Alligator mississippiensis: one gene and its partners. The protein of the gene in region 1 purifies or fractionates together with the protein of each later gene. This does not show direct contact. Links are inferred from orthologs where the notes say so. Each region holds a gene or a part of one and is shown in the gene's direction. Other genes may lie near its edges. The genes, in order: IKBKG, MAP3K14, CNTN2 and TNFRSF1A.

Region 1 (7,317 bases):
GTTGGCTCCCCTGTGGGGTCAGAACGGATCCCCCCCCACCGCATGTGATAGATCCCCCCAGGGTCAGGCCAGGCTTGGAGCCCCCCAGACATCCTGGTGCCCACCTTCTCATCCCGCACGTCATCAGGGTGGGTGGAAGCTGGTTTTTCCATGGCCACAAGGCAGAGCATCTGCAGCAGGTGGTTCTGCATCACATCGCTTCCGGGTGGGAGATGGGGGGAAGGGAGGGGGGTCAGTGCCAGTTCCACAGCCCTTCCCTCTGCCTTAAGAACATGGCCCCCAACCATCCCACCTTGCTCTGAGTGCCCTGCCCTGGCTTACCGGATGATGCCGAACTCATCAAAGTAGCCGCCACGGCCCTCTGTGCCAAAGGGCTCCTTGAAGGTCAGGATGACACAGGCCACATTGTCCCGATTCCAGATGGGCCCGAAGATCCGGTTCCCAAACCTGCCCAGGAGGAAAGCACAGGGTGCGTGAAGGGCTATAGGAGGGGTTGGGGTCTCATGTCCCCACAGCCAAGGACTGGCCTCCCCTGTGCTGACCTGAGCACCATGAGATTCTGCACCATCTCCTTGCCCAGATAGTGGTCGATGCGGTAGATTTGGTCCTCACGGAAGAGCCCCGCGATGTGGTTTGACAGCTTGTCTGAGCTTGCTAGGTCTTTGCCGAATGGCTTCTCCACAATTACCCGTGTCCAACTCCTAGAGAAGGGGGTGGAGGGGGCATGTTACGTGTGGTTGCAGCCTGGGCTGGCCCTGAACCCTGCCACCCATCTCCCCGCCCTGTGATTTCCTGCCAGCCCCACCCCCGTAAGGCTCCTCACCCCTGGCTCATACACACCCTCCATTCATCCTCCAGCTCCATGGCCTCTGACCCCCACCTCTGCTCCCCAGCTCCTCACCCCTGCCCCACACAGATTTGCCTCCCCATCAGCCACCACCCCCTTACCCCTGGTCCATGCAGGCCTGCCCCATTCAGTCCCCAGCCCCTCACTACCAGCCCTGTGCCCTCTGACCCCTTGCCCCTACCCCACATAGACCCCTTCCATATCATTCCCCAGCCCACACTCCACACAGGCCTGCCTCCACCCCCTCATTCAGCCCCCAGCACCTCATGCCTGCCACACACAGGCCTGCTGCCCCCCGACCTCACCCCTGGCCCATGCAGGCCTCCTTGATGTGGTGGGTGACATCCTCATAGACACTGGGGGGCAGGGCCAGGTAGAAGAGCCGGTTGGCCTGGCTGCCCTTGGGCAAGCTGCGCAGGTGGGCGTCCAGGTGGGCAAAGGCTGCGGGCTCATCATAGCGCCCTGACACATAGCTGTTGCGGGCGAAGAAGGCCTCCAGCTTCTCCCGCTCCTCTGGCACCACCTGTCACATGGGGAGAAGCCCTGTCACTAGAGGAACCCAGACCCCAACACACGAGCCCAGCCCCAGGGCATGGGAGGACCCCAAAACAGCTTCCCACCTCCAACACCCTGCTGCAGGATCCACCCCCTCAAGACCCCAGCTCTGGGGCAGGAACAGAGGTAGGGCTTGCCCACCTTGAGGTAGGGCTCGCTCTGACGCTGGATGTCAGCCACGGTGAGCTGAGAGCGGGCAAAGCCAACAACGTAGGTGTCATCAGGCAGAAGTCCGTCACGGAATAGCCACCTGTGGTAGAAGGGGGCAGTGTATTAGGGCTGTGGGAATGCTGGGAGAGGGATGGGGGGCAGGGATCGGCACTTACCAGACTGTTGGGTAAATCTTTTTCTTGGCCAGGTCGCCCTTGGGGACAGAGAGAGAGAGAGAGAGAGAGAGAGAGAGAGAGAGAGAGAAAAGCGGGGGGGGGGGGGGGGGGTATCACAATGGGGCACAGCCCAGGATCCCTCCAACCCAGTCCCTTTCCCAAGGGCTGTACCCTGCTCCCCTCTCCTGACACAGCACTGTTGTTGGCCCCATTGTTGTGAGACTTTTGTGCCTCTATCTAGGTCAGGGCAGCTTACCCCCGCCCACAGTGGCCGGCCTTCTCACGCCACCCAATAGGACTGGGACTGATGCCAGGCTGTGCCTGCCCAGGGGCAGGGAAGGGGTAGATTTGGGATTGCTAAGCAATGGGAATCTGCTGAGTCAAGGGGGCTGGGCCCTGGACAAAAGGCAAGCATGGGGGGGTGGTGCTGGCAAGAAGCCAGGCATCCCCTGGCAGCCAGAGACTCACTGGGTGTTGGCACCTCCTTTATCTGCCCTTTATCTACCACAAACACTCAACAGCTCACCAAACCTGCCTGGGGTGGGGGAGGAGGGTCCCAAGGCCCAGCTCCAGGGCTGCCTCCATTTCCCCACTTCAAGGCAAGGGAGAACCTCCCCCTACCCAGGGCACTGGCTGGCTGACTGCCCAGCCCCCAGGCTTCTCTGGTCCCAATCCTGGCTCAGGAAGGAGGGCTCAGTATGTCCTAGACCCTCTCCCAATATCCCCTGCCCCTGAAGCTGTATGTAGCTTCCACGGAGAGGGGGTGTGTGTGTGTTGCTCCATGGCCCATGCTAATTGGGGCAGGCTGGGACACAAGGACTGCACTCACGGTGACTTAGCAGAGCCAGGCTCCCCTGACACCCCCAGCAATGGGTGCTCAGGGTACCCTCTGTCCGCTCCCCACCTCCACCCACCCAAAATCTCCTGCTGGGGCCACGCTTGGAGCAGCAGCATGAGGCACAGATGGCATAGGTGGGAGGCACCAGCTCCCCTAGGGTGGGAGGGTGACCTCAGGGCAATGGGTTTGAAAGCACCAGCCTGCGAGGCTGGTGGGAGGGAGAAGGGGTCAGGCCATCTCCACCACCCCAGGGCTGCATCATGCCTGGCTCCAGCCCTTGAAAGCCTGGGTCCCCTAGGGAGTGCCTGGTTATTTCTCTTATGTGGATATGTGGACCCAGGTGCTAGGAGCTACCCTCCCAGGGTCACAACCTCACTCCCAGCCCCCAGCGTGGCACAGCAGAGAGGGAGAACTGGTTTGCATCCTGGATACCTGAGTTCCTTGTGTGCACAAATAAGCAGTATAGAAGCAGAGGAGGTTGTCACTCCTCCCAACCCCCCTCAACAGGGAGAGGCTCTTGGGAGACAGTGGGAACCCCCCAGGGAAAGAAGAGCACTGTTCTGGCCATGGGGCAGAGGGTGCTGGGGGCAGGAGACCGGGCCAGAAGTTAGTAGTATTTGGAGGGGGCAGGCACACACATCTGGGGCTGGTGGTATGCAGGGGGAGGGCAGGGGCACGGCCCCATGGAGATGCCCCTGCCATGCTCCAGGGCCCTAAGCTCGGGGGCTGCTTCCAGGCCCTGACCCCAACACCATTCCTGGGCTTGGGGCCCTAGCAGTGGACAGGGGCAACAGGGGAACTACTCACAGAGGCACCAAGGATGACAAAGACATGTGCATCAGTGGGGTGGAAGTCCTGCCCCTGGCACAGCTCCTGGCGTAGCATCCCGCACACCTGTGAGCGGCTGAGCTCCTGTGGCTTGGCCATGGTGTGGTCTGATGGGCAAGAAATGGGGTGTGTAGCAGGGACAGCCTGGCCCATGCCCACGCGCCGGGGGTGGGGCACCTGGCCTGGCCCGGCCGGGCCAACCAGGTAGGTCCCACCTGTTGCAACAGGCCCGGGCTAGAGAAGAGAAGGGAAGGGCTGGGCCGCGCAGAGGGGAAAAGGGAAGTGGGGGTGGGGCAGAAGGGGAAAGGGGAAGCAGAAGGGGAAGGGGGGCAGGAAAGGAGGAAGTGGCGGGCGGGCTCGGCTGGGGCAGGAGGGAGCGGAGAAGCCCCAGCGCAACGGTACTCGGGCAGGGGCCATCACCACAGGGCCCACGTGTCCGGGATCCCCCGTCCCCCGGGAAAGGGACCAGGTGCCCAAGCCCCGCCCCGCCCCGCGGGAGGGGACCATGCACCCGCTGCTACCTGCCCGCTGCGGAGTCGGAGTCGTAGAAGAATCCAGACCGTGGCCGGTATCAGGGTCGCGGCGCCGCTCGCGGCTCCCCATTGCCAAGGCTGCGGCCACGCCTCGCAGCCAGCGCGGACCTGCCTCTCCGCTCCAGCCAATCAGCGACGAAGCCGATCGGTTGGCTCGCCCCGCGACTGAACCCCGCTCTCCCGGGCTAGGCCACCTAGCGTCCAGATTAGGGAAGGGAGGCGCGGGGAGAGCTGTCACAAAGCCTCTGACATCACAGCCTCACGCTCTGCACCACCATGACAGATACCGAGGCGGAAGTTCCCGACTATGGTGCATTGAACTCCCGACGCCCCTTCCCAACTTCCTTCCGGCTCCGGGTCGTCTTAGTAACACTTCCGGGGTAAACAAAACACCGAGACCGGAAGGAGGAAGTACGGCGCGGGGCCGGGAGTGGCGCAAGAGCGGCCAGGTATCGCGGCAGACCTCCCCCCACCTGGAGGTGGGGCCTGAGCGTCCGAGCCCCGCCACAGGGGTGGGACCCAGACGTCCGGGGCCCTGATTCCAGAACAAGCGAACTGAGGCGTCCCCCCCACGCCTCCGCCCAAAGGGGCCCGTCGGGGCTGGATGAGCGGGACCCGCCGGCGGCGCAGCGCGGACATGGTGGCGCCCGGGGGCGGTGATGGGGCCGGCCCCGCGGGTGATGCTGACGCCAACGCCCTGCCCCAGGCGCCGGACCCCGAGGCCTGGCAGCGCCTGGCCGCGGAGAACCAGGACCTCAAGGGTAAGGGGGTTGGGAGCTCGGCTGGGGATTCTCTGTCCACCCTCGCGACCTGGCTCTCCCGGCCGTCGGCTGTTTCCTGGGCTGGGCCCAGGCTCCGGCCTCGGCCTGGCCTCCCCGGTGCCCCTGAAGAGGCCTCAGCAGGCAAGGAGCACGCAGTCCACAGTGCCTTTGGGCAGCGGCAACCCCCCTCCCCAATCTGGGGCTGGTGAAAGTGTGGCGCTGGGGGCCGGTGAAGGGTGCTCCAGGGAGGGTGTGGCTGGGTCCTGACACCTCTGTGCTCCCCCCGTGGCTTGGCAGAGGCTCTGCGGCAGGGCAACCAAGCGCTACGGCTGCGATGCCAGGAGTTCCAGCAAGTTCAGGCCATGCGGCGTGAGGAGCGTGACTTCCTTCTGCTGCGCTTCCATGAGGCCCGCACCCTGGTGCAGCAGCTGCAGAATGAACAGCTGGAGGTGCGGCGACAGCTTGAGTGGTTGCGCAGCGCCTGCCAGGTACTGGGGGTCTGGGTCATGCTGTGGGTCTCCCTCACTCCCACTCACCCTCTTCCTTGGGGGCACGTGGAGAAGGTCTCCGAGACACTGTCTCATTCTCCCCCCCAGCCTCCATCCTTGCTATGCACCCTGGAGCCAGCTGGGCTGGATGAGGCTGACACCGTGACTCTCACCCATGAGACGCCTGTAGCGCTGATGGTGAGTGCTTCTGGGGCCAGAGGTTCTGCATGAGCCTAGATGTCTGGGTTGCTGTGCCCGTGTTTGTCTCCATCTTAACTTTGCTCCATATCCCCCTAAACAGCTGAGGGGGAAGGGATCTGGCTGGGGGGGCTTGGGAGGAGGGGAGGGGTTGGCTAGGCCTATTGTCTCCCAGCAGAAGATGCTGGAGGGAACACAGGCAGCCACTGCAGGGGTGCACACATGTCTGGCCTTCATCCCCTGCCTGCCACCCTGCTTCCCCTCTCCCCCAGGCTCTTGACCGTAGCAAGGAGAACCAGGCAGTGCTGAAGGAAGCAGACACTCTCCTGTTGGGAGAGAAGCCACTGCATAACCAGACCCAGCAGCAGAGGCTGCTGGTCAAGGTGAGGGTATTGGAGGTGCGGTCTGGAGGCATCTGGGCTGACTCCTGTCTCCGTGAGCTGAGATGGGGCCACTGAGGGAGGCAGCGTGGCCCCTTGTGGCAGGACATGACACCTGTTCCTGGGGGGGGAGGGCAGGCAGTTGAGCTGGTGATGGGGGTTGGGGCCAGCGCTGAACAGTTTCTGGTGTGTTCAGGAGAGCGGTACCCTAGCTGAGCAGCTCCTGAAGACTGAATCCTTGCAAGGGGCTGGGAACAACAGGTAAGAACCATGCATGTGTTGAGTGGGGGGCTGGAAGAAGCCTGCAGGTGCCCCACCATGCTCCTTCCACTCCCCAAAGATGAGGGATGATCCTGGATCACTCAGTTGCCTCCTTTTGGGAAAAGGCACAGGGGTTGGGGGCAGGATGGCTGTGTCTGTGAAGCAGGCAACCCCCTCTGGGGGCTCCTCACCCTTTTGTCTTGCCCCCCCCACCCCAAATCCAGGATCAGAGATGACCAGGCTGAGGAGCTGCACAGGAAGCTAGAGGAAACTGAAAACAAGTGTGTTGAGTGGAGCCCAGGGGGTGCCATGGAATCCCTGGGGGAAGGGGGGTAGGCAGTATGGGTGCACTGTACCAGTCACTATCACCCCCCCCCCCCCTTTCCCCAGGTGTGCTGAGCTGAAGCAGCAGCTGGCATCAGCCAGGGAGGACCTGAGCCAACTGAAAGCACAGGGGCAGGAGACAGAGCAGCAGTTCCAGGCCCTAAGAAAGCAGCTGGAGGTGAGTACTACCCTCTCACCCTTGGGGCAGGGGCATCCAAGCTGGGCCTCTGCAGGCTGGGGCTGATGCAGCCTCAGCTGCTCCCCACAGCAGGTGACAGAAGACAGGGTCTCGGTGAAGGCCCAGGTGACCTCACTGCTGGGTGAGCTGCAAGAGAGCCAGAGCCGGCTGGAGACCTGCATGCATGAGAAGCAGGCACTGGCAGAGCGGTGAGTGTGTCGAAGGGGGTGTAGGGTACCTCCAAGGCTGGGCACTGGCTCATACCCTGCCTCCTTGCAGGGCACGGACAGCTGTGGAACAGTGCCGACGGCTGGAGGGGGACGTGGAGGCTCTGCAGGAGCAGCATGGGGTGCAGCTGGACCAGCTGCGGCTACAGGCCCAGAATTTGGAGACAGCATTGCGTGTGGAGCGGCAGGGCGCCACGGAGGAGAAGTGAGGCGGGGGGTAGGTGGGAAGGATGCCAGGAGGACCTGCTGGGGGTGGCAGAGCTGGAGCTGGTGGAAAAGGTCCAACCTGCTGCCTTTAACACCCCCATGGTCTGCTTGTTGCAGACGGAAGCTGGCACAGCTGCAGGTGGCCTATCACCAGCTCTTCCAGGAATATGACAGCCACATCAAGAACAGCATAGAGGGCGAGAAGAGGGCCCAGGTGGGTCCCCAGCAGGGGCACGCGTGTTTGTGGGTCATCCTCCTGGCCTTGGGGCTGCATCACCAGGGTGGTAGGGGACAGCAGCATAGACCACATGTACCTATCTAGGCCTTAGAGTGGCAGTTGGATGAGCTGTCGCAGCAGCTGCAGCA
Region 2 (7,928 bases), on another chromosome or scaffold:
CCAGATACTGGTGGTCACCCCTGATAAACTTATAGGTGGCCATCAGATCACCCCTGAGCCTGCGCTTTTCCAGGCTAAAGAGCCCCAGGGCTCTCAGCCTGTCATCATAGGGTCTGCTTCCCTGACCTCTGATCATGCGCGTGGCTCTTCTCTGGACTCTCTCAAGCTTCTCCACATCCTTTTTGAATTGTGGAGCCCAAAACTGGACGCAGTACTTCAGCTGCGGCCTCACCAAGGCCGAGTACAAGGGGAGAATGACGTCCTGGGATTTGCTTGAGAAGCATCTATGGATGCAAGCCATAGATATTAGTCTGAAGTCAGGCGGAAGGCAGGGTAGAGATATACCTTGCAGACTAACTGGAGTACTGTGTCCAGGGTTGGGGCCCCACACTTCAAGAAGAATGTGGGCAGATCTGAAGGACTGTAGCAGAGAGTGACAAAAATGGTTAGAAGCCTGGGAAGCATGACTTATGAGTAGGGCCTACTGAAATTCTGGTTTCATGGATTTTGCAGAAACTGCAAAGTCTGGGATTGTCTGTGAAGTCAACAACAACAAAAAAATAATAAAAATAAAATGCTGGTTCCCTACCTCACTGCCACTGTGGTCCAGCTTTGCAGTCCGCCCAGAAAAGGAAGATGCCAGCTGTCGGGGTAGCATGAAGGACAACAGAAAAGATGGCCACAGCACCTTCAATGTCCCCCCACCCCAGTTCTAGTGCTGCTTAAGCCCATGCTCAGGTATGGGCATCACCCCAAGCCAGCACCATTGAACTGTGATCCTGAGTTCCACACAGCTGGAGCTGTCCTTCGCTCCAGGACAGCCCTCCCCCTCACTCTCCAGAACCCAGGCCTGACCCCCAGCAGCCTGGGGCTGGTGCCAGGGGAGGCTGGAGCCTCCCCTACCCAGCTCCTGCAGAGGGGCAGAGCAGGGCAGGAGTAGCCCTGGACTCAAATGCTCCTATTGAGAGCAATTTTGCTCCCGACACTGTGTGCACGTGTAGACATGCACCCTGGAGCACTTTAATGAACCTGAATCTTCTGTGCAGAAAATTCAAATGCATTAACCGCATGTGTAGATGTGCCCAGTAAGGACAGTGTCAATGAAGGGAGAACTGGTATGGTAACAATAGGGACCCTCAATATTTACTTTGAATATGTCTAAGGAGAGGGGTCAGGAATGCTATGCTTTTGTTACTACATCGTGTACACTAACATTGTGTTCACTAACATTTTCAATATTTTCTTTACAACCATAAGAACTAGATAATTTAACTATCATTTTAAAAAACTGACATGTGACATAAGGATCTGGGGCTTTAAGGCCAATTAAGTGAGGCTGAAATTCTTCCTTTTAATATATAGGCCTCTGTAAGGGTAAGAGTTGGGCATTACAGTCCAATATGCCTCTCTTTTACTTCCTTGATGTTCTAACCCTGTGACTGTTCTTTATAGTAAAAATAAGGGAAGAATTCAGAAGAGGGAGATAGACAGGCAGGATTCCTATCTGTGCAACCCTGAAACTTTCCACTGAGATGTCCAACAAAGAAGCTGATCGGACCAGGGTTGGGGGGGAAAAAAAGGAGTCAAGGATCCCAGTCGCATAATTTAGATACAAGACTATTTCTCCTGTACTAAATAAGAGTAAAAAGATCCTGATTATTTGTGGCCTTTTCAGAGGCTTCTCTCACCACCCATGAATTTTAGGTATGAACTCAAATTTTTGTGGGCAGAACTGGAAATCTGATGGCAAAACCTTGTAGTGCAGATTACATCTAAGTAGTCAAGGAAGAACCTGCTGACTACAAAGTATAATTTGCGATGATGGACTATGATAATCCAATGTCACCATATTATTGTGCAACCTCAGGTTGTCATAATGTTATTTGGTAGTTCTGTGTAGCTCCATCCATGTAGGATTCCTCATACTGGTAAGACCAAAGAACTAAAAAAAAAAAAAATAGCCAGTGTGACAAGACTATGAGTAGAAGAGAGAGGTCTGTGCGCATAACAACGTTCAGTCAATATATGCCCAAGGTAGAGGGAAGTAATTGTGCACCTTCAGCCAGAAAAACAGGATCCGGTTACTGCTGAAGTTTCAAGATTGGTCAGAGTAACTTGCTTGGTTTTTTTCATATGAAACCTTCTTGCTGCAAGCTGTTAATGAGTCATCTTCCTCCAGGGCACAAAGCATGTCATCTACTTCTACACAAGTCGCAGTGAATCCGTCTTCAGCCAATCAAAGAGGTGGAAACAGGTGGCCAGGGCGTATTGGGGGCCTAATTTCTCCTTACCCTCAGAGTTTTTTTCAAGTTAAGCATTTCTTAGCCCAATCTGAGAACAGGAAATTGCGGAGACTGACTTATCTCTGCTATCACAACTGTGAATAAGTGTATTTGTCTATGTAATCTAGAAGCTGAAAAGTATATTAACTCTTTGTCTGTCCTTAATAGGGAGAATCAGCAAGAGGATTTTAAATGTATTACTAACTCATGCTGTTCAAAAGCTTAATCTCTCTCTTCATGAAAGCACAACCATCCATCTGAGCATCTCAAGTACACCCCACATGGAAGCGGCATTTGTGTGCCACCACCTTTCATTTTTTTTCCTCCCTTTGACTGCCTTAGTTTGTGGTAGTTCAGAAAATCCCTAGGTGATACATGTACATTTCCTAAAGTAATGTTGGTGGAAATTTAACAACAGAGATCTTCCATTACCTTTTCCCTGTATGTTTCTGCCTGTATGCTGCCCTATAAGCAGCTGGCTCTTGACTGGTAGGATTGTAACTGAGCAATGGCCACCATAAGACTTCGTAGGCTAATATAAAGAGGGGGAACTTGGATCCTGCTTGTTCACACGCATTTCAAGCACATCAGTTTAAGGATAATTTACTTGGAAAAGGATTAAGGTGTATAAATCTGACATTACTTACAGTAGATGGCAGTATTGTACTCACCACAGCCAATTATAAGCCTTTCACAAAATGGAATACAGCTGTTTGAGGATATATTTGGCCACTAATTCTGAAACCAATTCTGAATTCAAAAAGATCTATTTATATATCTATAGGCTGCTGTCTTTTAAAATGACACCAACTACATTTAAAATTAGTGGAGAAATGGCAGAGCATTAGGGAAAGAAACTATGTAGTGAAGTCAACACAAGTTGGCAAGAGTTAAGGACTGAGAGAAAATTGTAGATGTTGGTCCACAGATGGGTGGAAGCCTCAATTCATAATTCCAACAGAACTTGTAAAGAATAATTTGTGGATGTCAGAACTAATACCTTCCACAGAGATCTGCTTTCTCTGCCTTTTTGTATGGACTAATTTCACTAAATTAAATGTTGTTTGCAGTCCCTAGGTTTTCATATGCCAAATTAAGAGTTTTGAATTCAGCCTGAAAACTGGAAGCAGGGAGGAAAGCAGGAAGAACAAAACTTCTATGGATCCAACAATACCATGGGAGCCCAGACCAAGTGTTCAGGGCATAGTTGATTAATGTTTAGAGCTTTAATCTTCCCTGGTAAACTTTGTAGTGCTTTTTCAGCTAAACCAGAAGGGTGGCAGGGGGGGAAAAATGAGCATAAACACAGCCTTTTTCCATGTCCCTTTCCAGTGGCTTTAGAGCAGGAGGGAGAAACTAATAGCCCATGTTAGGCAGAGACTACTAACAAGGCTTCAGACTTGGGAAACAGCCAACAATGCCGCATCATCGCCCTGGAAGTGAGCTTGGGCGTGGGAGGAGAGGCTCAAGTCATGCAAAGAGTGCCTGGTGGGGAAAAAGCATTGGTGCTCTTTATGAAGAAAAAACAGAGGCGTTGAAGGGGAATCAGCAGGATCAAGATGGGGAGTGGAGTGGGAGCCCTGTGATGGGAGTGCCTGTTTGGGGACCTGGGAGTCAGGTTGCGGTTTTTCTTCTATGCCTTTTGGCTCAGATCTCAGGTTCTTGTGGGCCAGGATCAAGTGGGGGCACCCGAATCCCAAGACCTCTGGGCTTGGGCATGCATGGAGGATGCCTGCCAATGGATTTGGGAGTATCTGAATTCCCAGGGTGAGAGGCTGGGATGGAGGATGCTGGCAGGTTGTAGCGCCCTGCATGGGGTGGAGAACAACTGAGTTCTGCCTGCTCAGTCAATACGGTTTTTGGAGCGATACATGATTTGGGACTGGTTTCTTTGATCTGACCTGGAACAAGAAATATATTATTAATAATAATAATAATAATAATAAAATCCTCTGCCTTGCACTTGCCTTCCCTTGGCTTTGCGGAGGAGAAAAGCCACTGGGGAGCCCCAGTCGGGTGTTGCTGATATTTGCTGAGGAGGTGGGAGCAGGACAGGGAAGCGGGGGGCTGCCCTGCGTGCACGGCCCAGGGCAGGTTCCGGGGCACCAGAGGCCACATCCCCCACAGCAGGGGCGAGGCAGGAACTGCGCGGGCGTTGGCTGCGCGTCCAGCTGCCACTGCGAGCCGCGCTCGAGGCCGGAAGGTCCGGGCGCCTGTGGCGGGAAAGGGCTGGGATCACCCAACAGCCGTGGAACGGGCAGCCCCACACTGCGTATGCGCCAACCCTAGACCCGGGGATGAGGAGCATCCGAGCGTACGGACTGGCACCCCTTAAGCAGCCCGGTCACGCCGCGCATGCACAATACAACAAGTTTGGTAACACCCACCCAGCTCCGGGGGAAGGGGGAAAGAAAAGGGTTTGCAGAAAGCCTCGCCCACTTCTGGGAAAACAGAGGCGCTTCTCGGCCAATCATCGGAGAGAGAAGAGGCGGTGGGCGGGCGGTGGTTCTGTCTTCAGACAGTTGCGAGCGCTGCTGGCCGGGAAAGGTGCGCTGATTGGTTGCTGGCTTGGAAGGGCTAGGGATACAGGGGTGGGGTCTCCTCGCTGCCGTGGCTTGCGGCGTGCGCCCATTGGTTGGCGGGGGCCGGGGTGTGTGCTGCCCGGCCGGCCTGGGCGCCTCAGAGTGTCGGAGGACGGGGAGCGGCGCGGGCCGGAGCGGAGCGGCAGGTGGGTGCGGCCGGGGGGCTGGGGTCGGGACCGGGGTCGGGGCGTCGGACCCCCTCACGTCTGACCTCCATCCCCCCGCCGGGAGCCGGGGACCGGCGGCGGACGAGGTGCCGGGTTCCTCACCGAACACATCCGGCGGCCCCGCCGCGTGGGGGACACGAGTTTCTGCCAGCGCCGCTCCCAGCGGCACCGGCCCAGCGGGAGGGAGCACCGCGCCGCGCCTCTCGGCCTTTCCCTGGGGGCCGCCTGCGCGGCCGCACCTGCCGGCCGGCCGGCCGGCCGGCCCACCCGCGCTCGGCGAAAGGCAGGGGACAGCGGCACCTTGCACACTGACGGCAGCGTGTGGGGTGGTAGTCGTACACCCACCATGCCACATGCACATATACACACAACCTTCTGCCTATGTGTACGCACACACCCACATATGCACATGTACAAAATCACAACCATGCGGTGGCGTGTGTGAACAGCCTTGCATGCCTGTGTGTGTGTGTGTGTGTGTGTGTGTGTGTGTGCACGTATACAATCGCAGCTTTACATGTGTGTGCTTGTGTACACACGTATCTGGTCATGTGCACACATGTGGTCATGTGTGGATGTAGATTTGTGTGGTCACCAGTGTGCGTGTGTGGAGATGTGTGGTCACAAGTGTGCATATGTGCACAGAGTCATAAAATCTCAAGCTTTCTTGAGGTGATGCTCACTGTATCCAAAGCTGCAGAATGCTGCTTTCTGCACCAGTTGCACAGAAGTTAAATTCTTTTAGCAGCAGCATTTTGAGGGATACTGCTAGGAAAATGACTGCTTGGTCCAGGCAGTGTTCTGGAGAGTGGCAGGCTTCTAAATAGTTTGCAGGGGTGTGTGTGTGGACACCAGGTGTTTCCTTAATGTGCTGTGTTGGATTGTGATCGTTCCTTACATTCTAGCACCAAGGTCACATTTATTTCATGGAAATGTGTTGTTGTACTTCTGAATGACCCCGCAAGTTTTGTCTAATATGTATTTTAAGCCTAGATGATGGAGCCTTGAATTTACTTCAGCTGAGCTGTGCTTTTTTTTCCTTTTTCTCTGTTCTGGTGAGATCGTCAGAGGAGATCAAAAGAGATGTTTTTAGCTTAGATGTTGTTTTGCTGCTAGTAAGCAAACTTTCCTTTTTGGTTTTTGAAATAACTAATTTCCTGCCTGCTTTCTGTCTAAGGCAGAGTGCATTAAAGAAGCACTTCAGATAAGAGATTAAGTTGCAGACTTTGCTGTTTTGATTGGGTGTTGCTAGGCACAGATTTACAAAGTTATTCATTACAGTGGGGAGAGAGAGAATGAGGCAGTTAAGACCTTGGGATCAGTTGATCAAAATATAAAAGTGAATAAGATCTGTAGTCAGTTAAACTGTCTTTGTACTCGGTTCTCATTTGACCATATCACTTTTTCTTTTAAACAATTTTTGGCAAAATGTTCTAGTACTTCTGGACTGGTTAAGTTACTGCAGTGGGTGTTCTCAGATGCTTCCTGTCTGCTGCTTTTTGATATTAGTTGAACTGAAAACATATGTACATAGTACCCTGCTGTGTACATCAGAAATGGCATCATGAAATTGGCATGCATAAATAACTTTCAGATTGCTTTTTATGGGTCTTTTTTATGAGTTGGACACTGCAGATGGGAATTAAAATCCTGATTCAAGGTATTGAGCATTGAAGTGCTATAAATGTTCATAGCACCATCTAGCTGGCCTAAAACTAATGACTTTGCAATGAATATGTTTTGAATTAGTCATCAGTTATTAACTATATTAAATGTTAGCTTTCTTTTGGGGAAAATAAAGATTCTAAAAAAAAAAAATGTACTGTGTGACCGGAAATATAGGTAACTTGAAATCATGTTTATAGTACATCAGGAGTCCTTTTAAGTGTGTGTGTGTGTGTGTGTGTGTGGAACTGAATGAAAACCTCTAGGAACATGTGGGAGATGATTCAAAGCCTATTGAGATTATTAGGCAGACAAGGTTCTTTGGGTAAATGTGATATCTTTTACCCTCTGCCTGAAGAAGGATGTTTGTACCCAAAAGCTTGCAAAGAAGAATTTTCCCAACTATTTTAATTGGTCTAATACAAGATATCAGCTTTACCCAAAGAACCTTGTCTGCCTATATCCTTAGATCAATATGGCTACAACCAACACCCTTGAAACATTGAGATTATTAGGCATTTTGAAGGGAAAGAGCATTGGATTCAAGCTGTACAGCAGCTTCATGAGAGGGCGAGTCCTTTCGTCTTAAGATTGTTGGACTGCTTGCTTTTTGTATTTTGGCATGTTGGTAACATGATGGATAACCTGGAAGTGACTAGATGAATCTAAAAGTTGAATTTGTAGATGGTACATCATTTAAAATGGTTAGCATTTGACTAATAGTAATTTCCTAAGATTAAACAGTGAAACTGAGCAGTTCAGTTTCACTTTCTGGTTCTCATACCTCACTGCAATAATGTTTGGGTTCACAAGACTGAAGGGGAATAGTTAAACGAAGCTTATGTGTGAAGTTGAGTAAAACCATTTAAGTGAAAACTGATGTCCTGCTGATGTTACTTGATATTTTAGTGTAAGGGTAGATGGCCTAATGGCCTTGGAGTTTACAGTATTTTGTAATATTTGGCAATAGCTGTGTCCTGTCTACCCAAACAACATTGCATTGTTAAAAAGCTGTTCTGCTACATGGTTCATGTAGAACCTAACTGGGCAGCATCCTTCAAATGCTCTTTTATTTTAAGTTAGGGAAGTGATATTCATGAGTCAATTCCCTGTAAAAGTGCTTTGGGGTGGGGTGGGGTGAGGGTGGGGGGTGGGGAGAGGATGGAATCAAGCTGTTGTATCTATTAATGTGCCCTGAAGGCTGCTGGGGTAGTATAGAAAACTAAATGTGT
Region 3 (7,546 bases), on another chromosome or scaffold:
CACTTCTTCTCCAACCTCCGCCGACTCTCACCCCTAGGGTCTGGATCGATGCCAGCAGACTGCCTTAATCACCCTCTTCGGTGGAATGGAGGCATCCATCTACTTCCCATTACTGGCCAGTCTCCGCTGTGCAGAGAGGTAATAGCGAAGGAGTCACAGCCCCCCCCCAGCCCCCGCTGCTCTCGTTATCCTGACAGTCCCACCAGTTTCCTGCCCTGCACTCAGAGAAAAGCCTGATGAGAAAGTGGTGTCCTTTGCAGTACCAATGCCTTCACCTGCTCTAAAATGGGAGGATAAACACCCATCCAGAGGATTATGACATCCCCCCGCTGCAAAGTAAGGGATCCTATACCACTGCAATGGGCCCAACACAGGAAACTAGATAGACAGGAGGAGCAGGCCCAGGCTCTTCTGGTCTGGACCCCGAAGGTCTGGCTTACAGCTAGATGAACGCTCCTCCTCCGCATACAGCACAGGAAAGAAAGAAAAGAAAAATCGTGCACAACAGCCTTTCCCCCTCCCCACCCACCTCCGTCCCCCCATCCTCAGCAATGAAATCCATGCCAGGAAAACAGACCCTCCATCTCTCCCTTCCTCTCCAACACCCCCACCTCCCTGGCTGCCCTTGGCAGTTTGCTGCCTGCTTCAAATGCCCTTTGCATCCAGGCAGGCTGCCTGGATTTCCTTCAGGCTGGTCCTTCCTTTCCTGGTAATCAATGGCCTTTTGTTGAGGGTTAGGCTAGCATCGTGGGGAAGCTGATTGCTATCTAGCCACACTGTTCTGTCCCCAGCAGCAAAAACACAATGGCTGAGCAGCGAAACCTTGTGTGTGGCCAAATTCCTTCGCTGTGCCTGCGTGGGTACTCAGGGGCTGCAGGGCTTGTGGGGTCAGCGCCAGGCTCTTGTCCTCCTGCAGGAAGCACGGAGCAAACTGCCTTTCAGTGTAACTGAGGATCTGGGCTACCCTGGTTGTGAACATCCCCTTCAGCCCTCTCTCCTGGGAAGCAGTGGCCAGCGAGTCCCTTGCAGCCCAACATCCCGCTAAGCCCTTCTTCCCCTGGAGCTGTGCCTGCTGGGTGGGATACAACCCTAGGCCTCCTTTGTGTCCATCTTCAAGCGTGCTTGTTCTCCTTGCAGGGGAAGATCTGTGGGTGACCACACTGCAGGGTCCCAGTCTCATCTGGCATCAACGGCTGCCCTGGAGGGGGTCAGCCGTGCAACTGAGATGCACCGTGTTACCCATGGAGCTACAGGGATAACGGACACCTCCCCCAAAAGTTTCCAGTGACTGAAAGCAAAGAAAGCAAGTGGCCCTCCATATCCCAAGGGTCATAGACACCAGAGAGTGCCAGATTACTGCTGCAGCCCCACCCACCAACATGCCCCAAATTCAGAGATTTGCACTGAGTCCAGATTGCTCGTCTCTCCCTGCCTGCTGTGGAGATGAACGTGCAGCTCTATTAGGCCCTCAGAAGAACTGTGTGTCAGCACCCTGTCTCTGGGGTCCCTCCTTGTGCACAATGGCAACCTGTAGCCTGAAGGATCCACAAAAGCTTGTTCAGAACCTGATACGCCAATGAAACACTGCTCAATGGCCCACAGCTACCCTGCACACAAAGGTTTACAGCCAGGGGAGAAGGATCTTGCATCTGCTTGAATCCACCAATGGTGCTTAAAGATCAGGAGGCATGTAAGACCCCCATGTCAGATTGCAGCAGGGACAGGGAGGGGTTCAACACCCATAAAAGTGCCAAGGGAGTTTCTATCCTACATAGTCCTCTGACGTTGTTGTAATCATCTCAAGCTCTTCTACAGGGCTGTTCAAACCATGCTACAAAGAAGATCGGTGGCATTGCTCCCATTTTACAGATGGGGAAACTGAGGCATGGACAGGTGCCAGTCACTTAGCATGCTAACAAGAAAGCTGGGAGTTGAACCCAGGATCTTCTGAGTCCTAGTACAGTACCCTCCCACCTTGCTCACACAAGCATAGTGACTACTAGAGGGAGAGACGGAGAACAGAGAAACACACCTGGGTTTCACCTCTCATCAGAGCGCATACAGGTGACCCATGAAATTCCCAGCTGCAAATCAGCCAAAATGCTGCGGCGGTTGGCAGGACAGGAGATCAGACAGACACACGAGAGGAGGGGTGTGATGCAGAACAAATGCACACGTGTTTTGTCACCGACTGCTTCATCTATGAGAAAGAAGCAGCCCAACTGCAAGCAACACTTCCTCCTTCCCGCTCCTGCCCAACCAGAGGAATCTGGCCTTCTGGAGCCTTGCCAATCAATACAGGGACGCTAATGCATTAATTACTCCTCTGTAATTGCAGGCCATTAATGTGTGGACAGACCCAAGCCCATGTCCATTGATCTCCTTCCATTATTGATGAGCTTACCCTGGAGTCAGCGTGAGGCCAGATGGAAGGGACAGAAAGTGATGGGGGTCTTTGCAGCCCACCCTCACGTCCCACTCCCCACCCAGCAGCGAAGAGTCCAAATAGGACATGGTTTGATTAGCCACCTCGTGCCGTTGCTGGCCGTGCGCCGAAACCCCGTCCATCGGCGCCTAGTGTGTCCCGTGGACACCACTGAGAGTCCTATCTGGGAGCAGCAAACAACAGGATGTATTCATTAGCCATAGAGGGTGCACAGGAGGCCAAGCCAAGGTTAAGACATTCCTTGTGGTGACAGTGCCAATTTAGCAGCTGTCTGGGGAGGAGGGGGATCTGAAGCTAGTCCTCCAGGGACAAACAGGCTCATCATACAACCTACCAGACCCCACTTGGGCAGTCCCAGCAGGATGGGATGAGCAGTGGAGGTGGCCTCTCCAGGGGGACAAAGGGAGGTGGGCAGCCTTGCCTTGCTTTCTGTGCAGCACTTGCTCGCTGGTGAAACAGAGGCTTTTAGGGTCCTCCACGAGCATGGGAAAGTCACGATCCAAGCTCAGAGTAGGTGCAAGCAGATCTAACTCTGCTCTAGCCATTGGCAGTATGTGCGTGTCCGTGGGTACACACATACTGCTGGTACGTAGGAAACGCCACCCTAGCTGCGGTGTATCTGAATATGAACTATAGCAGCCAGGTAGGAAACTTGCCAAAGAAGTGAGGATATAGCTTAGTTCAGTACTCGCAGGTAGTGACTACATGCCCAGAGGCCCTCTCATGTACCCACACGTACATGGGAATCCACATGGATTGATCTCAGATTAGTTGGGCTTCATTTCATTTCAAATTGGGAGAGGAAGAGAAGTACCTGTGGTTGCCAGCAGGAAGAAGAAGAGGCTCTGAGTTTTAGTCTAGCCAGTGAAGCTGCACACAGGTCACTGGGAAGCTTCATGTCCCTAACTCTCCCTTACCCTGGGCTCATGGTGGCCTCAGGGTGTCACAAAGTCGCTCCGTTATTAGGTCAGCGTCCCTGCCACGTTTCACGGAGAGCCTTAATAAACTTCTCATCTTCTCTCCACAAAAAAACAAGGAAGGGCTTCTGCTGGAAAGCACCAGACTGAAAACAGGAGACTGGCATGCCACCCCCAGCTCTGCCACAGACTCCCTGCACAGCCCTGGGCAAGTTGCACAGCCCCCTCATGTCTCCATCCTCCATCAAAGCACAGACAGTGGTCATACCCCACTTCCTCATCCTAGCATGTGAACAAATCCTGTCCTGCCTGGGAAGTGCTCAGATAGGACCAGGATGGCAGGGGAAGAGACAAGCCTCGATACAACTAACTTACAAGAATGCCCGTCAGCTAGACTCTCGTTACCAGAACCGCAGGGCACCTGCTTTGGATGGCACAAGGATTCCCAGTCCCTATAGGCAACTACATCCTTTCGGGAGCCCGTCCCGAATCCCAGCACCCTGCGGACTCTGGGCGACAGCTTGCAACGAGCTCCACACTCAAGAGACCAGCTCTCCCTCCGTAACAGGGCTGAGCTGGAATGCCCCGCTATAACCTGGCTCTGAATTATTCCCCCCACACACTCATTTTAGATGTGCGCAGAGCTCCCTGCCCACCCCAACCACGCTGCTAAGTGCCGTTGCTAAAAATCAAGGCTCCCCTAGCTTGGCGGGGTGTCTCGGGACGACACCGAGAGCAAGTCCCACTGCCTGCATGAAACGGGGATGCACTTAGCAAGGCTCAAGCCTTGTGTGCAGAGCTCCTGTTCCCCTCCCTGCCTGCCCAGGCCCGCCCTCTCCCAGCTCAGGCCCGCAGGGATGCCCTCCTTGAATCCTTCGGCACTAAGGATGGGGTGGGTCCCCAGGCGAATCAGTCCAATCTGGGGGTGGTTGTGTTTGAAGCTGGTGAGAGCAGCAGCAGCCCAGGCTGTGGAAGGAGCATGAATTATGTATGACGCTGCAAGTCGCTCTCCCTCTCTGACTGGTCCTTGGACTGTGGTAAATGAGGTAAAGGCAGAGAGCAAAAAACAAAAAAAAAAAAATCCCTCTCTCCAGGGACCCCGAGTGGTGGTTGAAAGCCAGCGAGCGAGGGAGCGCGCAGGGGAGGGAGGGAGAGGGAGGAGCACATCCTAATGCAGAGATGCTGCAGTGGCTCTGGGCGCACACACATCCACACACAGGCAAGCAGCAGCGCCTGGGAAGGACTTGCCTGGGGGAGGCGGAGGACAGGCAGCGACGGGAAGGTTGTTTCAGCAGCAAGGACGCCAGGCTTTCCCCTGCACAGGCGCTCGCCCCGGGCGTGCACACGCACGTGTCAATCCAGGCCCAGGTAAGTGGTCTCCCTCTGCTTCTCCAAGCCTCAATTCGGGAATAGGAGTGAAGGGCTATCTGGATGGCAAGGAAGCATCGATGTTAACTTTCAGTCACCTCCAGCAGCGTTCAGCTTGCCTTAGGAACATGGCATTGGGGGTACCATTCAGGGAACAAGCTGCATGGCATCGGGGATACCATTCAGGGAACCGGCCGCCTGCCCTCTGGCACTGGGAAGGGATGGTGTAGGCAGCGGTGCAAGATGGGTTTTGTCCCTTTAGCTGTTGTCTTGCAAGCTCTCGCTGTGCTGGAAAGGGGCTGGGCGTGGGGTGGGGTGGGGTGTCCGGGAATGTCTCACTTGTGGCTGAAGACGAGAGTGCCTGGATGCTGGTATTAACCACGAGCAGAGCTGTGAAGGGGCGGTGGGTTTTCAGTCATGCTGTCAGCCTACGGTGTTGCACGGGATGTGGGGGCACTTCATGGTGATGGAGATCCCCAAATTTCTCGCTGAAGGGTAGCTACCATACAGAGGGTTTTGCTAGCCTGCCTCTTCCCCACTCCTACAACAACAAACACTGCTGGGTTTCACCCGAGGCTGGGAGAGACCCAGGGCAGCAGGGTGCAGGCAGACGAGCATGGGGATTTTGGTTTCCCCACTGCAAGGAGAGAGGATCAGAGCCACCGCAGCCGTCAACTGCTTCTCCTGTCTCTGCTCCTAATTAGGACTGCAGCTCTCAAGTGGAGAGCAGAAGTTTGGGCTGCTCCGTGTGTGCTGAGGATGACTACTGTGTTTCAGGCCACCAAGGGGTTTTGCAGCCTGTCGGGGAGGTGCAAGGTGGTTGTGGGGGAAGCTGGGGCAACGGTGACAATCAGTGAGGGGTCACCTCAGTTATCAAGTCACAGGTGAAAATCTCCAGGCTGGGCCCACAGGCAAGTGGTGGAGGCCAGAGCCAGGCAGGAGATGATGGGCACAAGGAGCACGAGGCTCCTCTCTGCCCCATTTCTACCAGGATGCTCAAACTGCTGAAGGGGTGGGCGAGAGTGGTTAGCTGCTACAGCTATGCAGGAGCTTGGCTTTTAAAACAAGTGGGTCCCCCCCCTTTTCTGCTCCCTCCCTTGCCCTCCTGCATGATCCTATCTGCCTTCAGAGCAGTTCATTTGTAGGGGGGAAGGCAGTTAAAAAAAAGTCCCTCTGTTTCAAACACTAGTTGATCCTTTCGAGGTGTTGGGTGGCCCAGCTCTATGCCTACATGGACAGGGGGGAAGCAAACTCCTTCCCAGCAATGCCCTCTGCATAGGGCCTGGCCAGCTTTGGTTGAAAAATGTCACCACGGGCTGCAAGCAGCGTTCAAACGACCAGCACGGCTTCAGCAAGCGCTGGCGTGCGCCGCTGCTGTGTTCAGCTGCTAAGGAGACCGCTCTGAACGTATCGGGGAAGAGAGATGATAACAGACACACTGAACCCAATACATTTCCAAGAGCACAAGTGCTGCAAAAGCTGCAGAAGGGGCAAAACCTCCCATTTGGCCAGCTGCTTTGGCAGGACCGACTATGCCCCAGTCCTGAGCTTTTCACTAAAGACATGCCTGGAAAATTGCACAGCCGCGCACCTTGTTATGCTGCACAAACCATGTACCACCCTAACCAGGAGCCCACAGGTGTTGCCTTATCCCACTCTCAGCTCATCTTCCCCTGCTCAGAGAAAAGCTAGCTCCCACCCCTACTCAGCCTAACCTTTGTGCACCTTTTGGACATGGAAACTGCTTTTCTGACGCAAGCAGGAAGCATCCGCAAGGGCCACTCAGCGGACAGCAGCTTGGGGCTGCTGTCCTGATGGCCAAGTGGATCTTTTCCAGATCCGGCAAAACCCAATAGGTGCTTAATACTGTGACTCAAGAACACAACGACACTGCTATCAAAAGCTATATTGTTTGGGGTAATATATAAGGAGCACAGTAAAACTCGTAAGGAGGGGATTTTCCAAAAATCCAAGCTCTGATGACTTTCATAGGGCCGCTAAATACCTGAAGTGCTAAAGAAATTATCTCCCCCATAGTGACCTGCATGACAAAATGGGAGCTTTGGGAATTGAAGAAGTGTCTATTGAATAAATTCATTTGAGGTGACAATCCAGCACGCAGTATTTGACAAGATGAAGCAGGGCTTGCACCGAGTAGTCTAAAACACTACAGGATATTGTTTTTCAATAAGGCAGGAAGGGAAAAGGTTCTACTCAAAACGTGAGCGTCCCCAACATTTGCATGGACCTTACAACGTGGTTTCAGCTTGAGCGAAGCAGGAAAGGCCCTTTTTCCCATGCACTAGTGAAAATCAGAAACACTTTTCCTTCCAGCCATGCACTCTTTTAAGCCTCACAAGGAAGCAGAGGGTTTCCCCAGGAACACTCTCAGTTACGAAGAGCTGTTCCCCCTGTGTAAGAGCTTGTCCCGCTAGTTCAGACGAAGGACGTGCTTGGGCCCGCCCTGCCCAGTGCAACCTCACTCCTTCATTTCCCTTTTCATTCTCCGCTTCTTCTGTTGGCCTCTTTTCCTTGCTTTCTTTCCCCTCTCATCTTTCTTCAGCTTCCTGTCTTTTTTTCTCATTTCTATTCCCCTTTTGGACTCCAGGAGCCTAAGATTGGAAAGGAACACGTGGGTCACTGGGTCCAGTGCCCAGCTATCACAGGCCACCGTATCATAGATGTTGAACCCAGAGGGATCCGTAAAAACAACCCCTCTGTCCCAGCCCGCACGCAACAGGTCACAAGACACCTCCCCAAATGCCCTATAACAAACTGGAGACCTTTAGAAGAAAGGGTTGAAAACCTACAGAAC
Region 4 (6,928 bases), on another chromosome or scaffold:
TAGACAGGGAAAGCAAAGGGGAATGTGGAGAGGCTAATATGAAGAACTGTAGGGCTTCAACTGAACTTTGATCAGCTCTGAAGACTGAAAAACTTGATGAGGATGAGAGTGGACCTATTCACTTATGAAATGACATGAGGAAACCTGGCAAAGGCTTTTTCCTTTGGGGACTGACTTTTTCCCCATAGGTTTTATTAAAAAGCACATTTGAGGTTTTGTTCCTGGTTCCTGGGGAATGATCTTTGTTTGGTCATGTTTGACAACCCTTCCAGGAGCAGGATACTAATCGCCATTGTCCCCCTGCTTTCCTTGTGGTAAGTTAGGTTGCAAGATAGCATTGATTGTATAGTTTTATTAAGGGGTTAGACAAGGATTTGTATGGGATGTCAGGCAGGTGGAAGGACTAGGTGAACTCCAGAGGCCCCTTCCAGCCCTTCTTTTCTCTGATTCTGTGTTCACACAAGGAAACAAGCTAAACAAAACTAGACATGTCTTTTCCATCTCTAAAGTCAGAACTGGCTGTCGCCTAGCAAGTCTCCTGGCTTTTTCTTTCCTGTTCAATATTACAGAAACTCTGGGGCTGAAGAAGCAAAATTATCTCAAGTTTGAGGTGAAGAAGGAGGAATTATTATACGATGCATAGTGATGATAACTTTTTGTCTTCTGCACAGTGTTAGTAGCCCCTATCTAGTAAGTGAGCAAACCTTCTATAAAGAAAATCAATGAAAAGGTGCCTTGACTTAGTCTAGAAAGGTTTAAATGCCTGAATTAAGTGTTAGACTTTTTTTTTTTCCTCCAGATTTCAGTATATGACATGTCCATACTTACAATATTCTCATGTCTAGGTAGGATCAAGTTAGTATTTTGGTTAATGGCTTCACAGGATTTCTGATTGCACTACAAAGATAATTGTACAGGGAAGACCCTGTTCCTCTCTCGTATTGTTCACAGGCAAGGAGTTGCTGCTATGAAATTTTCCTCTCCAGTCCTGCTGTGTGGTTTTGGGAGATGCAAGCAGAAGATTCTCGTGTGCCCTTGAGAAGCTACGTGTGCCCTTGAGAAGCCAAGGGGGCAGCAAATGAAATTCATGCAACCTTTTGAATCTCAAAAGAAGAGAGCTTTAAAGCAAAAATGAGGGCAGGATCCTTGTCCCAAAGAATTTACAAATGTAACGGACAGCAAGCAAATGAGATTCCATTATCATTTTTATCATACTGTTTTCACGTTATTTTTATTTCTACTCATCTCAGTCTTTTAAGGCAGGTATTAAGTAAGGTTGATCTTGCCTGGAGATATTCTAAGTGCTTTTAACTTTTTATTTTAAACCATTTTTAGAAGTGCACCGATATATTGGTGCCATATTGGATTGGCACCGATAAAAGAAAAATTACCATTATTGGCTATTGGCTTTTTTTGGCCAGTGTAGCCAATAATGTCACCAATAAATATAATATTGGGCCTCCAGATGCCACGTGCATGCGCGCAGTCACATGGCCAAGAGTGCAGCCAGGCGGTGTGGAGAGCAGTGCCCTGCGGGTAAGTCTGTGGAGGGGAAGGGGCATGGGGGGGGTAGATTGAGGTTACCACAGTGAGGGAGGAGTGGGGCAGGAACTCCAGCCAGGGGGGTGAATGGGACCTGGGGCAGGGAGCAGGACGAAGCCACAGGTGGCTCGTCCGGGGGGCACGGGGACATGGGGGTGGCTCCCCACTGCTGTGTACACCCCCCTGGGGGAGGCATGGGGAGGGCATGTGCCCCCCAGATTTGTGTGTGGGGTGGATGCGGACTGTCCACTGTGGGCTTAGGGCTCTCTGCTCTGGTGCCTTTGCGCTGGGGGCTCCGTGCCGGCCATGCATCTCCTGCCCGCTCAGCAGTAGTGGGGGTGGTGAGTTGTGCGTCTCTCTGCCAGGCGGGTAGGGGATGCACGGCCAGTGCGAGGCCCCCAGGGCAAAGGCAACAGTGCATTAAGCCCTGAGCCCACAGCGAGCAGCCTACATCCACCCTTGCCCTTCTCAGCTCCACTCCCATCAGAAGTGTACCCGTGCTTAAAAATGGTGGTGGTGGCACTCAAACTATGAGCTTTAGTTCAAGTACCCCCACCACCATTTTTAAGCACTAGGATGCTGATCACCTGGACAAGCTGCCTACGCTGGCCCCAGGTCCCATTCACTGTCCTGGCTGGGCAGTGCCCCCAGCCCCTGCCCCCACTCCCTCCCTCCCTCACCGTCAGGGCCTCGATCTGCCCCCCATGCCCCTTCTCTCTCCTACACCTCTTCCACTCCACAGACTTACCTGCAGAACGCTGCTCTCCACGCTGCCTGGCTGCATTCCTGTAAATCGGTTATCTGATCAGTACTAGCTGATATGGCTGGTTAATAGTCAGCTATCGATATTGTCCAAGAAAATGTTTATCGGTGCACCCCTACCATTTTTGCACCATCAAGGCAAATAGATGTTAATTTTTTCTTGTTTCCCCTTTTAATGTAACCACATTGCTAAAATATATTAAAAGGTCAGCAAGACTCAAATCTTAGAAAATCTTGAGAAATGTGACTTTTTATTACAGTTTGTTTCATATCTGCAAGTGAGCACTTTTTTCATTCTGTGATCCTATAGACCACTACTGACTTTTCTTTAGAGCACTCCATTTTCCATTATTAACAAGGCTTACTCAGTTGGATTGTTATTAAATTAGTAATGAATTAATTATCAGCCAAAGCTCTGTTTTTAACACACAACCTTAAAAGGGATGGGAATAAGAAAATGAAAAACCCAGCATTTATTGCCACCTTTAAGTTTCAAAGTGTTCTCTAAATTCATGAAACTTGCACTTTAATACCAAACCTTAACTCTGATAGCAGGATCAGTTGCATAAAACCCTGCTGGTGTTTCTTACTATGGCACAGTCCATTCATTTACAGTTAATGTCTACTTGATCATTGCAGAGGTGATGATCAAGGTTGTGCATTAGAATATATTGTACTTGCTTCACAGTGTTTTGGAAAGCCTTCGTGACCAATAATTCGGAGAAGACTTCTTGTTTTTAAATGCAGGCTGAGATAATGGAGAACAACATGACATCCTTAAAATGCTGCGTCACTGAGTTGAAGTAACCTAATTCTCATAAACCCAGGCACTTTTCTGTACTGAGGTGACGCTCAGTCTGATGGATGTGAAGGGTTGATGGAGTTTTGTCCACAGTTGCATGAGAGACAGTTGACATCTTTCAATAGCTTATAACTCTTCCCAATCTGAACAGATTTTCACGAGACAAGGAAACTACATTTTCCATGACTATCCCTTGTTAAACTCCAGAGTCTTGCTGCAAACAATTGAGGTAGTAGCGCTGTTAAAAAGTAGTATCTTCTTTTTCTGTCATTTAAAATGCAAAGTAACCAAAATACAGAGCTTGCTGGTGATCCCCTTAATAAGAATCTTTTAAAAAGTTTCTGCGTGGATCGTTAATATAAAGAGCACCATCTGCCGGCATATTGGGATTTATAGCAATAGGTCAGAGTTGGTTGTGCAGAGTTCTTACACTTCAAATTGTTTCCTGATTACAGCTTTGGGGCTAGCTCATGGTCCTTCTCAGCCTTGATGAGTGGGAAGAGTTAACAAATCCTGTGCTCTCCTAGAGGCAAAGGGGTGGGTACTTTTTCTACTCTTCTGCTCCCCCTCTCCAAAAAAAAAAAAGCTGCTTCCCTGGGTCTCCCTATGCCCTAGGGAAGAATTGATCTGAGGTAAGCTTAGCTGAGGGACTGGGTCTCTATCTCATGGGGGAGGGCAGTGTGAATGGGGGCAAGTGCTGAATTTCTGTCTCACTGTGCTGTGGAACACGTAGGGTTAAATTGGATGGTGGGGGAGGGGTACAGTTTGATATTGCCTCCCATGTTTCACCCGCCCTCTTTCCTGTTTCTGCCTCTCTTGGTTTGGCAGGAAGTTGCAGGCACTGATAGTTTCGATCTGTCTCACTCCTTCTGTGAGTCCCGTGTTGGAGTGGGAGGCCTTTTCTGGGTCTCTAGACTGGGAGGCTTTTCAGGACACGGGGATTTTGCCATGGGGACGTAGATCGCAGGAGCATGGCCCCGCTGGAGCCCTCAGTGGGCTTGGTTATTATGGTAAGTGAGGGCTTGAGAGAGGCTGACTTTAAGGCTGAATCAGAGCTTGCGGGGACCAGGGTGGGGGGTGTGCCAGGTGTGGAAATGGCGCTAGGTGTGGGAGGGTTTGAAAAGGAGGTGGGAGTCAAATCTCCTGGGTCGTGTTTGGAGCTGTTGTATCTGGCAGATTGACAGGGAAAAGGGATGTCAGGGTTGTTTGAGTTGTATTTCTGCCCGTGCCCTTTCTTCGAGCCCTGTCTGTCTGTGTGTTGCCGTTTCCCTGTCTGTAGAAAGGGTAACTCAGTGGAAGTCACCCTCTGCCCATCTCATGGGGGCCCTTTGCTGAGGGAGCCTCTTTTTTGGCCTCTGCAGTGAGTTGTGATGGTCCTCAAGCTGGCATGCTTGTTGGGCAGAGGCTCCCTTACCTAAAATATCTTTGTAAAGTTTTTGTGCGTGCAGCCCTCTACAGCTCACCAAAACTCAGTAAGCAGCCCACCAGCCGAAATAATTCCCCACCCCTGCTCTAGAGTGTACGTTAGTAACTTGTTTATATAGCCATGTGATAATTGGATAAAAGGAAACCTAAGAGAAATTGAAGGCTTGCACTATGTTTCTTGAGGTGCTGTCACTTACCTGGATCCTGCTTTCCCTTATCTGCTCACCACAGGAAAGAACACTTTGCTCAGCAGTGAGGGAGCTTGCTTTTCCTGAGGTTCCCCACTTGCCTCCACAACCCTTTAAGGTGGGGGTGTCAAACATTAGGCCCCGTGGGCTGGATGAGTAGTGTGGAGCCAGTCTGCAGGCTGGATTGGGCCCACAGACTGGCCCTGCAGACCGGTTCAGGGCAGGCACCTCATACAGGACGCATGCTGGACCCTGTCTGGCACACACAAGATTTGGCCTCATGCCATATGCAGCATGTGGGACCGATCCAGCATGCTCCTCATATTGGCAGATGGGACCTTTCTCAGACCCACAGGCAGCACCCTGGCCCAGCTGATAGAGCTCCGCAGGCCCGATCTGGCTGGCAAGTTTGATCTTTGACACACTTGCTCTGAGGTCTCTGATTTCTGCTGGAAATGCAGTGCTGAACTTTCCTGTCAATGCTCACAGTTCTAGTGCCTCCACTTCCATGGATTGTCCTGAATCCAGTACCTTTTCCCAACCCCTTCTTAGGCCTAGTCCCCTTTCCTTTGTGTCCAGTGTTCTGCAGCAGCTCAGGTCTCCTTTTATCCATTTCTCCCTCTTGTATCTCCTGTTCTTCCTCCCCATGTATCCAGTGCCCCCCAAGTACCACTCCCTAACACCCTCTCATTCCCCTTTCAAGCATAGCCAGTGCCCTCTACCCCACCATGTGCACCTGGTGTCATTTCCAGTCTTCCTGCTTATTCCTGTTAGCCTGATAGTACTGCATCTACTGAGCACCAAAGTGCAATGCTGTTCCACTTCTCAAGTTCTTGAAAAATAAGAGAAAGGTGAATGGGTTCTCCTCCTTCTTGCTGCTCTTTTCAGATTTAGTCTGAAGTCTAAGGCAATGGTGTGTTACAAAGTTACCCATGTTCATGTTTTTCAGGAGCTTGAGCAGTGTAGAATAAAATTACACTTGGGCACCTAAATGGTGTTTAATGATGGTCTGGAATCTGGCCCTGTGTGGCTGTATAAGAGTAAACCATTTACTTAGAGACCTTGGGGTAGGAGGTGTGTTAAGTGGTCTCAGGGATGTTTGCAGAAAGGGAGGGAGAGGGTGTCAAACTATATTTGGGAGTCTTCAAGGAGCTTGCCACTATGGATGGGACCATTCTCAGACCCACAGGCAGTACCATAGGCCTGTGGGTGGGGGAGAGGTCTGGTGTAGGACTGCTGTGAGGGTGGTGGAGTGTGTACGAGCACCAGAGTCTTGGTGGAGTGTGTCAGAAGTACTCTTCAAGGCCTGTGCAATAGTGAGGTGACTCAGAGGAGTCAGTAAAGGATGAGTTTTATTTCTTAGCTCTAGTGGCTTCTTCATGGCTAAATATTGAATAATGTTTTGTGAAAAAAGTGAATCCAGGGGTTACTGTAGCACAAGGTTCTCAAGCCAGCAGCTGCCATGCACCTCTGCCCCATCCCTGACACAGCAGCAGCAGATCATTTCACAAGCTGCTAAGCTGCTTCCGTTTGTTCCTGAGTTCCCAACTCAACAGGAAGGAGGCTGGACTTACTGGAATGGCAGCACTTGCTTCTGGGAGTTGCAAGTTTGAACATTTAACCCCGGAGGTGCTAAGATCAGCTAGGAGCCTCTTACACCTCTAAAGGGTTAAGGGGTTTCCTTCCTGCGATTTGATAGTTTCATAGTAGCTAGGGTTGGGAGGGACCTGAACAGATCATGGAGCCTGACCCCCTGCCACAGGCAGGAATGAATGCTGGGTTCACAAGACCCCAGACAGGTGATTGTCCAACCTTCTCTTGAATTTGCCCAAGGTAGGGGCGAGGACCACTTCCCTGGGAATTTGACCCCACGCACCTCCCCACTCTTATAAACTACCCTTGTAAATGTGGGGGTTGATAAGGGTCACTACTGACTCAACAGAGAGACGGCTCTGTTCTGACTCACCCATGGCCCTCTGTGTAGTACTCAGTTATTCAGGGTTTGGTGGCAATACTTGTTTTGCGCTGTGAGGAATCCGGCTCAGGGGACATGTTATTAAAATAGAGAGCCTTACTACCAGCCACAATCATTTAAAAATTGCAAGTGAGACCTTCCCCACAAAACCATGATTTTTTAAAATCTAATACATTTGGGTTCTTTTCCTTCTGGTTTTAGAGCCGCCAGGCTTATTTTTGCAAGTCTGAGAGG

The links.
Region 2: the proteins of IKBKG (region 1) and MAP3K14 purify together in Homo sapiens (affinity purification with mass spectrometry; 6 studies listed by BioGRID and IntAct, counting the BioPlex papers as one, with this or other methods). This does not show direct contact. The link is inferred for Alligator mississippiensis from reciprocal best matches to the Homo sapiens genes IKBKG and MAP3K14.
Region 3: the proteins of IKBKG (region 1) and CNTN2 purify together in Homo sapiens (affinity purification with western blotting, with the first as the bait; 3 studies listed by BioGRID). This does not show direct contact. The link is inferred for Alligator mississippiensis from reciprocal best matches to the Homo sapiens genes IKBKG and CNTN2.
Region 4: the proteins of IKBKG (region 1) and TNFRSF1A purify together in Homo sapiens (affinity purification with western blotting; 4 studies listed by BioGRID, with this or other methods). This does not show direct contact. The link is inferred for Alligator mississippiensis from reciprocal best matches to the Homo sapiens genes IKBKG and TNFRSF1A.

The regions. Positions count from the first base shown.
Region 1 is NC_081831.1:29,095,934-29,103,250, forward strand, and holds the start of IKBKG (NF-kappa-B essential modulator), read left to right. Parts: upstream 1-4,312; 5' UTR 4,313-4,531; coding exon 4,532-4,688; intron 4,689-4,985; coding exon 4,986-5,176; intron 5,177-5,284; coding exon 5,285-5,374; intron 5,375-5,646; coding exon 5,647-5,757; intron 5,758-5,950; coding exon 5,951-6,015; intron 6,016-6,239; coding exon 6,240-6,296; intron 6,297-6,405; coding exon 6,406-6,517; intron 6,518-6,607; coding exon 6,608-6,726; intron 6,727-6,796; coding exon 6,797-6,949; intron 6,950-7,068; coding exon 7,069-7,165; intron 7,166-7,273; coding exon 7,274-7,317. Other genes in the region: G6PD (glucose-6-phosphate 1-dehydrogenase), read right to left, coding at 105-198, 322-447, 543-701, 1,153-1,370, 1,544-1,652, 1,729-1,766, 3,374-3,501, 3,916-3,997. UniProt on the Homo sapiens protein: Regulatory subunit of the IKK core complex which phosphorylates inhibitors of NF-kappa-B thus leading to the dissociation of the inhibitor/NF-kappa-B complex and ultimately the degradation of the inhibitor.
Region 2 is NC_081827.1:161,165,081-161,173,008, forward strand, and holds the start of MAP3K14 (mitogen-activated protein kinase kinase kinase 14), read left to right. Parts: upstream 1-4,917; 5' UTR 4,918-5,010; intron 5,011-7,928.
Region 3 is NC_081837.1:40,559,408-40,566,953, forward strand, and holds the start of CNTN2 (contactin-2), read left to right. Parts: upstream 1-4,535; 5' UTR 4,536-4,731; intron 4,732-7,546. UniProt on the Homo sapiens protein: In conjunction with another transmembrane protein, CNTNAP2, contributes to the organization of axonal domains at nodes of Ranvier by maintaining voltage-gated potassium channels at the juxtaparanodal region. May be involved in cell adhesion.
Region 4 is NC_081824.1:254,190,713-254,197,640, reverse strand, and holds the start of TNFRSF1A (tumor necrosis factor receptor superfamily member 1A), read left to right. Parts: upstream 1-3,915; 5' UTR 3,916-4,077; coding exon 4,078-4,116; intron 4,117-6,928.